Linked DNA regions of Drosophila melanogaster. The protein of the gene in region 1 interacts with the protein of each later gene in a pairwise test. Each region holds a gene or a part of one and is shown in the gene's direction. Other genes may lie near its edges.

Region 1 (4,580 bases):
ACCCAGGTCGTCGATCGCGCCGATACCCGATTCCCGATCGCTGTTGACAGCTTTTTTAAATGCCGGCAAATTGAGCAACAGGTAAAATCTCCAGCCCGCGGAGGTGAATCAACTTAATTGCTGGCGGAATTGTGTCAGCAGATCGTGCGTATGCGATTTGTGAAGCAGCGGCGCCCTCCAAAACAATGCCCTTCAATGGAAACTCCGCGGGGCAGGTCCAACCTGAATGCTCTTCGCCATTCAATGGATAACCGTTTAGCTGGGAAATATTTCTTTCGAATTTTTGACGATTAATTTACATTGTTGAGTTTATCCAGATGATGACAAACTAAATACACTCCATATAAACAGAACTATTTTTTATCATGTGTAAAATAATAATTTTGTGTAGTTTTTTTTTTAAGGTATTGTTAGCAAAATGTAAGTAAGCACGTAGTAAAACAAAGAAAATGTATAATTATCTAGTTATATAATTACATATAATTTCTTATCTGGATGAAACCAAGAATGAATGGCAAGATACATATATAAATTTATTTATTTCAATACAAAAGTATTGTACTGAATTAAGCCAAAGGGAAATAAATCGCAATAAATTCAAATTCCCTCGCAATTAAAAGCTTTTACTACAAATTCGCATTCCTCTAATCAATTTGTACTTAGATAATAGCCGAAGCAAACCTAAAAATAACGCTGCCAATAAGAGGCGTTGGCGAAACCAGTTTGCAAAACAAAAATCCAATTGGATAAGTCCGGGCCCCAAAATAAAGATAAAGCCCCCACCTGCGTCAATGTGACAGTTAACGAGGCGATATATGCAGGCGGAATGAGAGTCTATGCGAACGTATCTCCCAATTGGACGGAGAGTCACGGCTCCACCTCCAATTGGATTAAGTAGGCACACACACAAGGGGGCGATAATCATAAATTTAAATAAAGCGAGGGAGCATGCAAGTGAGAGAGGGACAGCGAGCAACCAGATTTGAATATTGCAAGAGTGTGTGTGAAAATTAGCGAGCGCGATTAGTTGTCTCTTTTTCCCCAACGGGTCAGCTTTTTGTGGAACCTAAGTGAGCGATCGCTGCTTTTTGCAGTAGTAGTGGTGAGTGGAGAGCGCGCAGAGAGAGCAAGAGCGAGAGTTTTTCAGAGACAAGAGAATTTTAGCTCTCAAACTAAACTTAATTGTTTTTTTTTACACTAAAATGAATTAATGTTTAAACATAACTCATTGCGGTTTTGAGAGAGCTTAAGCGCTCTCTTTTATCCCTCTCCTGCAATTGCAATGTTGCAAGCAGGTGTGCATCTGTGTGTGCAAGTACCTGCAGCAGATACGAGCAACTAAAGTCACGCACACTTACAGCAAAACCCGAACACAGAGACACTTCACATTGCAATTGTTTCAGTGCACTGCCGTTTGTTTATTTGCCTTTTGTTTATATGGATTTGGCAAAAAAAAACTTGTTGCAGCCCGCTGCCGTTAAAGTTGCCGATCTGTTGCGCATCTTTAAGATACTTTTGGCGAGCTCGCCTCAGTTGAGTTCAGCGTTCAGTGGTTGTAGCTCAAGTGCGCGCGCTCCCCGGACTTTGGCAACACATTTTGTCCTCCGCGATATCCCATGCGCTACTCGACCGATACAATACGATCCCGAATGAACCCCTCTAATAAAAATCCCCATTCTCATCGCTCTCGCGTCGCGATTTTTCCGATCTCTTTTTGTGCCGCAGTTTTTTGCGTTTTGACGACGGCATTTGTGCGAATCGAAACGTGCTGCGAATGAGACGCAAATTTCGCTCATAGTAACATCATAATTTATTGAAAAACTATACGCTTATAGTTTTTAAAGAGTGCCCCATATTGTGCAGATAAAGTACAGTGATAACTAATAACTTATTCACTTGAACGAAATGAATTTGATATTTAAAGATTGAAATGTTTGTCTGAAAAACTCAACAATTGAGGTAAATCCCATGAGTATTAAATTAAGCTATGAAAAATATAAAAGAATTCATAGAAATTTTATTGACACATATCTAGAAAGGTTGATTATTTGTGTACAAGTTGTTATACATGAAAATAAAATAACAATATACATGTGCAGAAAATAAATTTAAAGTTGTAGTTACCACAAAAATAAATTTTTTAATGATTGAAAACCAAGACCAAGGGTCTGAAGCTTCTTGAAAAATTTTAGAATTGCTTACAGTCATCTTTTTGGTATATAAATATTTAAATACCTTGGTAACCAACAAATTTAGGAAAGAAATACAATTGTATAAATGTTTTATTTATAAAAGAAAATAATAATGGGTCATTTAATAAATAACTTCACTGATTTTCTAATTACGAAAATGACTTACCTTTTTTGACTAAAAGATTGAACAATTTTACAACAAGTGACATCCGAAATTTTTGTTGATAAGAGTTCCCCAGGCCACCTGGACCCTAATCATGATTCATTCAATTAATCAAAGCCGTGTAGAATTTCACAATCCTAATCTGCAATCTCTAACAAGCTTTAATAAATGAAACATTTTTGAATTTATGTTGCCTAGCGTTTTTAAAGGGTTTTACCCCACCCCGCAGCAGTAAATAGTGTTTGACAATCTATAAAACGGGCTTTTCACCACTTAATTTACTGAAAATTACTGAAAGTAAAGGAAATGTATACCATATAAGAGGGGGGATATTGTATAAACCATTTTTAAGTAAGGCGCCTTGAGTTTCAGACCGGAGGTAAACAGAACCTGCATCAAAGTTTACTCTACAAAAGTTGAAGTGGGATACCTGTAACTCCAGTATCTTTCGCAATGTCGCCGGGGGTGAACGGTGAGGCGAGAAATAATATTGAAATTGAAATAAATAAATACGGCAAACAAAGTGCGAGAAAAATCGATCGATTTACACTTTAAATATCGTACCAACCCACCGTTCGATTTGTTTAATGTGTATATCTATATCAATACACAAGCGTATATTATGTTGCCTTATTGATAAGGCGATCGGCACGATATGTTTTATTAGCATAACACTTGTGGTGTGCCGCAGTTTTGAGTTCAAGTGCCTCTGGACAAGTTGGAACTGCATTTCCTTTTGGTTGGACACTCGTTCTTTATTTTTTTCTTATTCAAATGCCGTTATCTGGGTGGCGTATATAGATACAGCCGTACAGATACCATTACCATTTGCTGTAACGATCGAGTGATTGATTATTTTTACAGTACAATAATAAATATTTGTCCAGCGTTTGTCGCGTTGCCTGCTTAGCCTAATTAGATAAAAATGGAATGGAAAAACTTAACCTGCTTCTTTCTTCTCCTTCTCGTTCTTGGCGTAGCATTATCTCGACTGCGTTTTCCCATTTACCATATTCGGTGCTCCTCCAGCCGAACTGAACTGATTAAGCCCGACCGGGCCAAGAAGACCAAGACGAGTTGGTTCTTATTGGAGTATCTATATCTATGCGTAGACCCGTGTCGACAATTGCGTCGAAGCTGTTGTTTAAAAAGAGAAATGAGTTCAATTTGTTTGCTCTGGCCTGATAAGACAACTCCGTTCGCAGGTTGGTTGGGTGGTGAGGTGAGGAGAGTTGAGATAGAGTCAAGAGCCAAGAACCAGTGCCATGCCACACACTTCATACCCCAGCACTTTGCATATCAACAATGAAATTGTTCATGTTCAACAATGAAATTTCGGCCAAGCCCCAAAAAAACTAATCAATTGAATGGGTATCGATTTGATAGCAGGATCCTCAAAGGTGACAGGTGCTCTGAAAATGTCTTTTTTTTTACTCTTTAAAGTTACTTACTTTTAAAGGTGATTAGGATTTGAGTTTTTCATTACGTTAGGAGCATATTACTCCCATTCCGAAAATAGATTTATAGTCACCCGCTTTAAATAATTTGTAAAATGAGGTCATATATCAGTGAATTAGATTCTTATCAAGCTAATCATTTCCGTATATCATTTAAATATGAATCACTTGAGACTTGGCGACCAAAAGAATCAGCGGATGGTTGATAAGAATTATTGATTTCTTTGCGGTTGATAAGCCAAATTCGTTAAAAGGGTCCTTTCCCCCACTACTATCTTCTTCGTGCGGAAATTCGATTGGCGCGATACAATAAAATATAATTTGCAAAATTAACAAATAAGTTGAAGGCTCGTGATTAAAGTTTATTAAATTCAATTCTTGGAACTCGTAATTCTTTCACCGGGGGTAAACAATAGAATCTTGAAATATGGGCTGATGTTTAGTCCGCGCAAAGTTCATTGGGGGGCTTGTTTCGCTTAACACGTTTCACATTTCGCAATCTTGGAAATCGGTTTGCACCGGTTTTTCACTTTTTTGTTTCGATGGTTTGCGTTAGGTAAGGTCCGGTGCGATACAACTTGCCTCAAGTGGCGTTAAGTTAAGGGCTGCGTACCTGATATTTGGCACATTAGCAAGTGTCTTCTTAAGTATATGTTTATTAACTCTAAAAAAGTCATGACATTTATTCCATTATTATTATCATTATAAATACGAAATTTATTGCACATATGTAGAAACTAAAACAGCTAACTTATATTTTATATTTTA
Region 2 (5,008 bases), on another chromosome or scaffold:
GTTTTGCAAAAAGTTGGTGTAAAGCGATAAAATGTTATTTGCGTCATTTGGTCTGATAGTTAACTATAAAAAGCAAGATGGGAACTTATTTATAAGCAGAAACATGAACACGATACGAACATGGGCAGAGCTATTTAATTTTGTTCATATTTCAACGGGAATTTTACAGCTTGTAATTGTTTACTAAAGACTGCTGCCAGTTTTAAACCATACAATTTAGTTTTTAATAAGTGCTTGTACTGCAAAATTTAATTATACCTTTTGTTTCGGTAAGCTTCATAAATCTGATCTTGAAAAACTAGTTAGTGCTTTAGTTGCTTTCCGGGAAAAGTTCTTAGTCAGCTGGGTTTTTTTTAATTCATTTTTTTTTTTTGGCGATAAATCACCGATTCGTCCCATTGTGCGTGACTGTGCGCTTGTAGTGGTGCTCGCAGAGTGCTTTATTGCATTGGGCTCGCATCGCCTGTCAGTCTGTCACTGTGTGTGCTGGTGTGCGTGCGCCTCTCTGTGTGTTCGCGCGTGTGTGTGTGTGTGCGACGTATCTGTGCCCGCTCAGTGCTCTGTGCTCAAATGCAATTTACAATTACGCGCGGCAATTGGAGCAGCTACCGTTGTGTGCGTGCGTACGTGCGGGATCATTGCACATTGCGTCAACGTTTCAAGATCACAATTACAATTACCCCGACGCAGTGGCAGTTGCAGTAGCACCAAAAAATCCATCTCAATTGCGAGAGAACCGAACAGTGGCAAAAGCAACCGAAAATTAAGTAAGGCACAGCAAATTTGTCGAAGAAAACTATCAACAATACAAGTAAATAAGAACGGCAGAACGGCCGCCCGCCCCCACAACAGCTGCTCTCCGTTGATGCGCCACTCCACTCCGCGGCTCAACGATTCTTCTATACAATTCTTCGAGCCTCCTCCCCTCGCCCATTCTCGCCCCACGAGACTCCCCTCCCCCCGCCCCCCACGCTGCTCTTCTCGATTCTTTTCGCCCCTCCCGCCGGCCCGCTGGAAAAAACGGGCAGAGCTGCAGAGCCGCAGAAAGCGATTTCAGTTCGGCGACGGCAGCGCACAGGTGCCATTCGGAAAGTGCGGACGTAGAATGTTTGCCGGGAATTCCAGTGGCATTTTCACCTATAGTTCCACTCGATTTTGCCTCGACGCCAGCGTTAGTAGCGCGTTTCGACGGAACACACAGATCGTTTTCCAACACCATAAGCACCATTTCACTTTTGAGTCTTTCCTTATCAGTCACTCCCAATCACTACCCAACCATCATCCACTACTCTTCACTAGTTTCTCTTTCTACTATCCTTTTTCTTATTATTCCCATCCTCCCTTTTAACTATCTTCACACACTCATTCTTAACGGAAATCTTCACTGTTTTTATGCTTTCTACTATCGTTCTATCCGCCAGCCTTTCACTTTTCACTCGCTTCTAACATTTACCATTCTAGCTATTTTTTTACCATCTCTTACCATTGAATTCTTTATATAAGCCTTAGTAAATTAGTATACAGAAAATAGTACGAATTTCCATTTTCCATTTTCTGCACTTTTTTCAACTTCTTCTGCTTACAACATCTTTCTTATCACCAATCCCATTACACTTTCTTGCATATTCCTATTTCATTTTTGCTGTTCTAACGAATCTCACACTTACTTCATTAGTCCCAACTCTTTGCTAACCTGGTGTATACATACCTTTACCCACCCCACCTCTACCCGCGATCCAGCCAATCCATCCATGTGAGATGAGTGCGTGCGACGGCGGTACGGGAACGGTTTCGCGAACGTCTGACGCCCCCGCTTTCCAATTCGATGTCATGCCAAAGATAACGACGTCGACGTCGACGTCGAAAGCGTCGGCAGCGAGGGCGAAAACGAAAACGACAGCAAAAGCAACAACAATTGGAAAAACAACAACGACGACAACGCGGAGAACGGTTAAAATTGAAAATAAATGGACGACGGCAGAGGCAACGGCGTTCAGTTATCAGCGGACAGCGGAGCAGATTGGAGCTAGTGCCCGAGCCAGAGCCAGAACCAAAGTAGCAGCTACAGTCAGAGCTAGAGCAAACCCAATTGCGGCCACATCCAATCAGCGAAGTGACATTGGTTATCCATGTGAGGTGGCATCCATCTCCGAGTTGGCCCTACGCAAGGCGCAGTTGAAAGCGCAATTTTTCGGCAATCAAGTGGGTGGATTAGCCCGCGATAGCGAGACAAGCAGCACCACTAGAATCACTCGCACCACCAACTACCGCAGTGCTTATCCCAGCTGCAAGACGGAACGAGGCAAGCCGGTGCAACAGCTAATCGATCAGTTCCAGGCCATGATTGTCCAGCAGCAGCAGCAGCAGCAGCTGAGCAACGAGGGCGAGCCCAAGACACTGCCCGGAGCCACTGCATCCAATTCGGATGAGGGCTGTAATGTCACCGGCGGCGGACTGAGTCCCTATAGCAGCGACAACGAGGATAACAGCCTATCGCCGAGGCAGCGCAAAATGAAGGTCACACGCTGTGCCAGTAGTGATTCCGCCCTGGGTCTGGACGTGGACGATGGCGGCATGGATGTGCCGTTGCCGCCACAACGTCGGATGACACTGACCGTAACGGATTTACCCCTGCGACCGGCCCTACTGCCACTGGCCGAACCCACAGCCCTGCCAGATTCGCCACTGACATCGCCCACCGGCGGTGGCAATCCGAGCGTGGGTGTGCCCACCAAGGTGCTGCTCGAGGAGCGAGTGGTAGCCGCACCGGGATCGCGACGTGAATCCACCCAGAGCTCGTACAGCGAACTGGGCGTCAGTGGACTGCCGCTGGGCGTGCGCTATGTGCGCACACCATCCGTCGTGGTTAGCGACTATTCGGATGACATAACCGCCTGCGGCATTAGCATGGAGGAAATGGAATACTTTCGTCTGCAGCGGGCGCGTGGTCAGCGGCGTTGTTCCCTGGAGGCGGGACATCACAGTCATAGCGGTGGACATGGCGCACATGGACACGGTGGATCGGGAGCGGCGGGAATGTCGCCGGGATGTGGCAAGGACGATGGCCAATCGGATGTCAGTGCAGCAAGCAGTTGCAGCAATCTCTACTATTGTGGATCCACCATTTCTGCCCTCGATGGTGGCGAGTGCATCGTGAATGGAGTTCGAGTTGCGCTCGCCAGGAAGAGCAGCACCCAGAGCAGCAGTCTCAGCGACGAGGAGGAGGAGGAGGAGGATGACGACGAGGATCGCGATGAGCAGGATCGCGATGAGGATGATCGCGATGCGGAGGAGATGCTTCAGGAGGATTACGAGCGGGGGGATCGCGAACGTGAGAGGGAGCGGCAGATCAGCGAACTAATGGCCGCCACGCAGCTTGGTGATCGTCAGCGGGATCGATCCAAGAAGGTAGGCGCCCGCGATGACGTCACAAACCAGGGAAATCTCAAACTAGACTAAAGAATTCGGGTTGGCAAAACGGACAAGTAACAAAGTGGAGCAGCCTAGTAAATTTAATATTAAACACTATTTTTTTTTTTTCGTTTTTAAATATCATTAATGATTGTTTGTGTTGTTGTTATCGAAAGCATAAAAGAGCAGTGAATGAGGGCAGGTCTGAATGGCAGCGAAAGAGATAAGCAAGTTGGTGCATATACACAGGGAGAAACGGGTGCTACGCGTAGATGAAATGTGGCATAATTAAAAAAAAAAAAAAACAATCTATTTTGCTCTAGAGCAGTATTATACCGTTTAGTTTATCAACTGCAAGACCATTATAACTATAGAAAAAGACTATAATAATAAGACTTTTACAATACGCATATCTATTAAATATAAAAAGAAAAAAAAAAACAAAGAAAATCCCTTGAACTACTGACTTGATAATGCGAATTACCACTAAGTTTCATCTTGTTTTAAAGATGATGAGATGATATATAGGCTCAAGAACGGTAATCCCGCGCCTTATCAGCTAATGGTTTTTCCACCTTGCATATGCAGGTCTTTTCTTTCAGTGTATGCGTTTGCTTAAAAGGCTATTAATTAATTAGAATTTTATCTTATCACTAAAATGAGGTTCTGTTACTCGGAGAAGTCTTTTTGTATTCTTCGCTTTTCGTTCGCTATAATAATTATCGTTTTTTTTTTTTTTTTTTTTTTTTTTTTGAGTGAATGAGAACGATATGATGGTGGTGATGTTGAAAAATAGGGGGTTCCTTGATAAAAAAAAAAAACAAGTATATATCTACGAAAATACGAAAACCTCGGATCCGTTGGTTTAATTCGTTTTTTTTTTCGTATCTAGAACTGCAAAACAAAACAACGGCAGCGATAGCGAGGAAAAGAGCTTATCTTAGTTAACTGTATACTGTATTATAGATAAATATTATGTACATATATAAGCCAGCACATATTTACGTTTATATAATGGCATCTTTTTTTTTTTGTGGTTTATTATTCCTTTTGTTGCTGTTGCTGTTGTCAGCAGACGGCGAAAAGTTTGTAAAGCAAATAAAAGTATTAGAAACCGAATTTTCGGAGTCATGATAACGATAATAAAGCAATTCACCTGGATATCTCATACATACATACATGTACATATGTGTATATGCAAGAGATATGGATATGTATGTTGTCTGATCGTATATGTATGTGTGCCAATGTGTGTTTGGTTAATAATGTTACGCGCTTATCAAGCGGGTTTATCTGCCTGGCATTCATATAGCAATATATGGTATATATGTATATATATACCCTCACCGCCGACAAAAGCAATAATTGGAGGCATCCCAGAAATGGCCTGTTGTTCTTCTACTTTTTTTTAAGCCACGGGCATGCGGCTTATATATGCTTAATACGATATACTATCTACTGTATAGTGTGGTTATATCTATGATGATCCCATCCGCCAGTCTAACACAATTGTATAAAGCTCTGTCTTACGGGTTGTTGTTTTTTTCTTTTATTTTTTTTTTTATTATTATTTTTTTTTCTTTGCGGTGGGATGAGT
Region 3 (4,200 bases), 1.4 Mb from region 1:
TACGTCCGGAATCGGGAGCGATGCGAGGCGGTCTGCGTGGGTGGATGTGGTTTTTACGGCAAATGCATCGCACCGAATGTGTGCGGATGCGCCATAGTCCCGGGTCCGGAACGCACCTACCAGCGTTGCGAGTACGGATTGTGCAACGCCATGGGAAGATGCCGCTGCCAGGTGGGCATGACGCGATTCATCGATCGCTGCATGTCGCCGGACACGGTCACCACATACGCCTCTATGAATCCCGTCAAGGTGAACGCATCGCTCATCCAGGAATTCAATCTTCTGCTGGGCAGGCACTTCAACTTGACCACACTCAGCGATATGTGGTGGTTGTGAGTTCGGAGCTCTCACTTTTCCAGCATCACTGAGCAGTCTCTAATAAATATTCATGCATTTCCCAAGACGTTGTGTTCTTATCAGGGGTGTCTGAAATATCTTGTGGCTTCATCTCTTGGGATTTCGCTTTTTTGAAGCAAGTCTAGCTTAAATTGTAAACGTACGTCGAAGATTTGGTACCCTCTCGAAAGTTGTTTCATTTGAATAGGTATTTATTATTTGGTATATCACTTATTTTCTGCATAGTCAACATACCCCACGAATACCGGGTACTGAACACATAATTATCTTCCTAGGAATATAGAACATTTCTATCTCCGTACACTTAAATGCCGCGCTTGACACAGACGACAATTTAGTAGCTCCGAGACACTGGCGAGCATTGCGCTCGCATTTTGATACGACCTCGCCTTCAGCTGAATCCGAGCGAAATGCACTTGACATCCACGCTGATTGGACTCCTTATCTGCGGTCTGGGGATCGAGCTGCCCACGCGCACTGCCGCACAATTCTGGTCGGTGGATCCTGTTACGCAGTGGCGAAAAGAGGCTCTGGCCGAGAGGGGATCCGGCATCTGTTACAGGACGCTCACGTAGGTAAACCATTCCGCACGCCTGACCGAATTTCAAGATCAATTCCCACTCCCAGCGTGGAAACCATCAATCCCAACTCCAGAAATCGTCAGTTCTCCTACTGCTGCGATGGTTATGTGAATAAGGGAACAAGCCAGAACCTGAAGTGCGAGCCCATTTGCTCGGAGGACTGCTCCAATGGATTGTGCCTGGCGCCCGAGGAGTGCGAGTGTGCTCCGGGTTACTATCGGAGTAACAAAAGGTGTCGTTTTGTCTTGGAATAACAAAAATAAATAATATCAATTACAATATTTTTTGAGTTGCTTACTTTATCATTATTTGATCAATACTTCTACTATTTGAAATATTATTAACCTGTTTTTTACGACCATTCATGATTACATAGAAACGTTAAATTTTTTTTTTGAAAAAACCTTCATAAGTTTTAAAGGTTCATCATTTTTATGTTCTGTGCCTTTAAATCTGATATTTCATCAAGAAATAATCTCTATACCTGAAGTCATCGTTGTACGCAAACTTTTCTTGGAATTACCCAAAAGCAATGAGTTTTGTTTACGACTCACAATTTATGGCAATGATCGATTTGCTTTGCCCGAAGCTACTGAGAGCAAACCTTCGCTCCGTTTGCCACATTGATGGGTACATTGGCGAGGTGCTGATTAGAAGGGGGACAAGAGGTTGCCGGAGGCGAATGGCGGCTCAGAGATCCGGAGCTTCGCATCGGGAGCCGATTAGTCGATGTGCAACTACAGTCGCCAGCGGACGTGGACGTGGGCGCATAATCAATTTCCATACGTACGAAATCCGTAATCAAGTGACATCACCATGAGGTCATCATCGTGCCAGCTGGTGACTCTGGGCGTTCTGCTGGCCATCTGTTCCCTGGGTCAGGGACAATTCAAGACGGCTGGCATCAAGACACGGCAGCCGCCATCGGGAAACCTGCAGCTTGCCGGCAATAGCAGTGAGTCGGGATGGAGGAGCTACAACCAGAGCAGCTACGGTTGGAGCACTCAAAACCAGAGCAACTACGCCTGGAACCAGCAGAACCATGTGGAACAGGGATCCGCTGGATTTGTGCGCGCCGAGGTCTTTCAACCGGTCACATTGCCGCCCCTTTATGGACACTACGTGCAGCCGGTGACTCCGCCCGCTCATCGTGTCCAGGTCCTGGATGAAACGGCCCTGTTCATCAACAAAACCAGATCTGCCATGGCCAGTGGTGTGTGCTACAAGGAAGTTCCGTAAGTGATGGGTTAATTTCGGACAAAAAATACTAACAATCGAGAGGAAAACACTTTTATAATTCCACTTAAAGCTATCGCCCAATTCGGAAGGCATTCGAAAACAAGGCAAGCCATAAAAATAGTGAACTAACGACCTCAACTTCCTCCGCTGGCCTGATAATTAAAATGCGCCTTGATTTCACGAGTATATGTGTGCCAAGCTAATAATGTGAATGAATTTAATATGCAACGAGCGGAAAGTCAGTAGATAAGCGAAAAGTTTTTAAATTTAGTTGAATTGACTAGTTTCATTTGCATTCTCTTGGACAATATGTAGTTTAAAACTTTAAAGGACAAAATTATTTTTCAATTTTGACACACATCTTTACTAAGGTATTATTTAGACATGTTGATTATCTGTTTTATTAGTTTCCCTAGGAAAAATATATGTCATTGCATTCATGATTTTAAGTTGTTTAAGTAAACCTAATGTTTTCCTTGTTTATATCCAGAACCGCGTCACTGCTCCGCAATTCGCGGGATCAGTTCGTTGGCAATGGCACCACTCCGGACATGAGTCGCATCCAAGTCTGCTGCGATGGCTATGAGCGAAATCCGCACATCTACCGCCGCTGTGAGCCGATCTGCGCGGATGACTGCCGGAATGGAATATGCACTGCTCCGAATACCTGTGTCTGCATACCCGGCCACGTTCGCACCGCCGAGGGCAAGTGCATCTCCACCTGTCCCCTGGGCTGCGGCAACGGAGTGTGCGACGAGCGGAATGAGTGCAAGTGCCGCGAGGGATACTCGCTTGAGCCGGAGACTCGTAAGTACTGCCAGCCGGAATGCAAGCCCGGCTGCTCCTTTGGACGCTGTGTGGCGCCCAACAAGTGCGCCTGCCTCGACGGATACCGCCTGGCCGCCGATGGATCCTGCGAACCAGTGTGCGACAGTTGCGAGAATGGCAAGTGCACGGCTCCAGGACACTGCAACTGCAACGCAGGCTACCTAAAGCTCCAAGGACGCTGCGAACCCATTTGCTCCATGTAAGTGTGGCCTTTAAAAAACAATGAAATCTGCTTGCGATGTATAGTTTAGATAATTTAATTATTTCCCTATTTCAGACCCTGCAAGAACGGACGCTGCATTGGACCGGACATCTGTGAGTGCGCTTCCGGTTTCGAGTGGGACCGGAAGTCGGCCGAGTGTCTGCCGAAGTGTGACCTTCCGTGCTTGAACGGCGTCTGTGTGGGCAACAACCAGTGCGACTGCAAGACCGGATATGTGAGGGACGAGCACCAGCGGAACATCTGCCAGCCACACTGCCCGCAGGGATGCCAGAACGGTTACTGCAGTGCCCCAAACTTCTGCATCTGCAGGCCGGGATTCATCAAGAGCGGCATCAAGGGACGCCAGACCTGCCAGGCCGTCTAACTTAGACTTTCGCACTTTATTGTTTCGTCTTGGATCAGAAATTAAATAGACGCCCTATCAGGGCATTAAACTCATAAGCAAGTTGGCGATTGAAGTGCTTTCTCTTTTCGCTAGTGTTGAGATGCTGACTGAGGCGGTCCGCCTTCAAACAGCGATCGATGAAGTGGGTTTCCCCCGATGGGCAACTGCAGTGCTCGATATCGTCACAGCTTCCGTTCCGGCAATGCTGTTGACCCTCACCACAGCCGCAGATTTCGGGAGCCACACAACGCCCGTATTTGCCGCAGAATCTGCTGAATAAGCGGAACTTCATGAAGGTGAACACAGCTTTTGCTCCGGGTAACAGACCTCTCACACTTTGGCCGACACTCGGCACCGTGGACCTCGTATCCTCGGAAGCAGCGGCACACTCCGGGCGCAATGCACACCCCATTTCCTTGGCCACAGTTGTCGCTGCACTCCGGCAAACAGCTGGTGGTGTTCACGTCGTAGCGATATCCTTCGCGGCAGTGACACTTGTACCGCGACTCACAGAGCCCATTCTCGCAGTTCCTGGAAGCGATAAGCAAATGGCTTAAATTGGCGGACAAATTTAAGATACTTTAGAT

The links.
Region 2: the proteins of nub (region 1) and IP3K2 interact in a two-hybrid assay, tested with the Drosophila melanogaster proteins (one large-scale study listed by BioGRID).
Region 3: the proteins of nub (region 1) and NimB2 interact in a two-hybrid assay, tested with the Drosophila melanogaster proteins (one large-scale study listed by BioGRID).

What each region holds. Positions count from the first base shown.
Region 1 is NT_033779.5:12,586,094-12,590,673, forward strand, and holds the start of nub (nubbin), read left to right. Parts: upstream 1-1,531; 5' UTR 1,532-1,959; intron 1,960-4,580. UniProt on the Drosophila melanogaster protein: DNA-binding regulatory protein implicated in early development. Involved in neuronal cell fate decision. Repressed directly or indirectly by the BX-C homeotic proteins.
Region 2 is NC_004354.4:13,303,540-13,308,547, forward strand, and holds the start of IP3K2 (inositol 1,4,5-triphosphate kinase 2), read left to right. Parts: upstream 1-1,975; 5' UTR 1,976-2,340; coding exon 2,341-3,408; exon of another isoform or gene 3,409-4,465; intron 4,466-5,008.
Region 3 is NT_033779.5:13,964,479-13,968,678, reverse strand, and holds NimB2 (nimrod B2), read left to right. Parts: upstream 1-1,660; 5' UTR 1,661-1,754; coding exon 1,755-2,173; intron 2,174-2,667; coding exon 2,668-3,204; intron 3,205-3,282; coding exon 3,283-3,592; 3' UTR 3,593-3,626; downstream 3,627-4,200. Other genes in the region: NimB4 (nimrod B4), read left to right, coding at 1-336; NimB3 (nimrod B3), read left to right, coding at 768-928, 985-1,192; NimB1 (nimrod B1), read right to left, coding at 3,627-3,885, 3,941-4,144.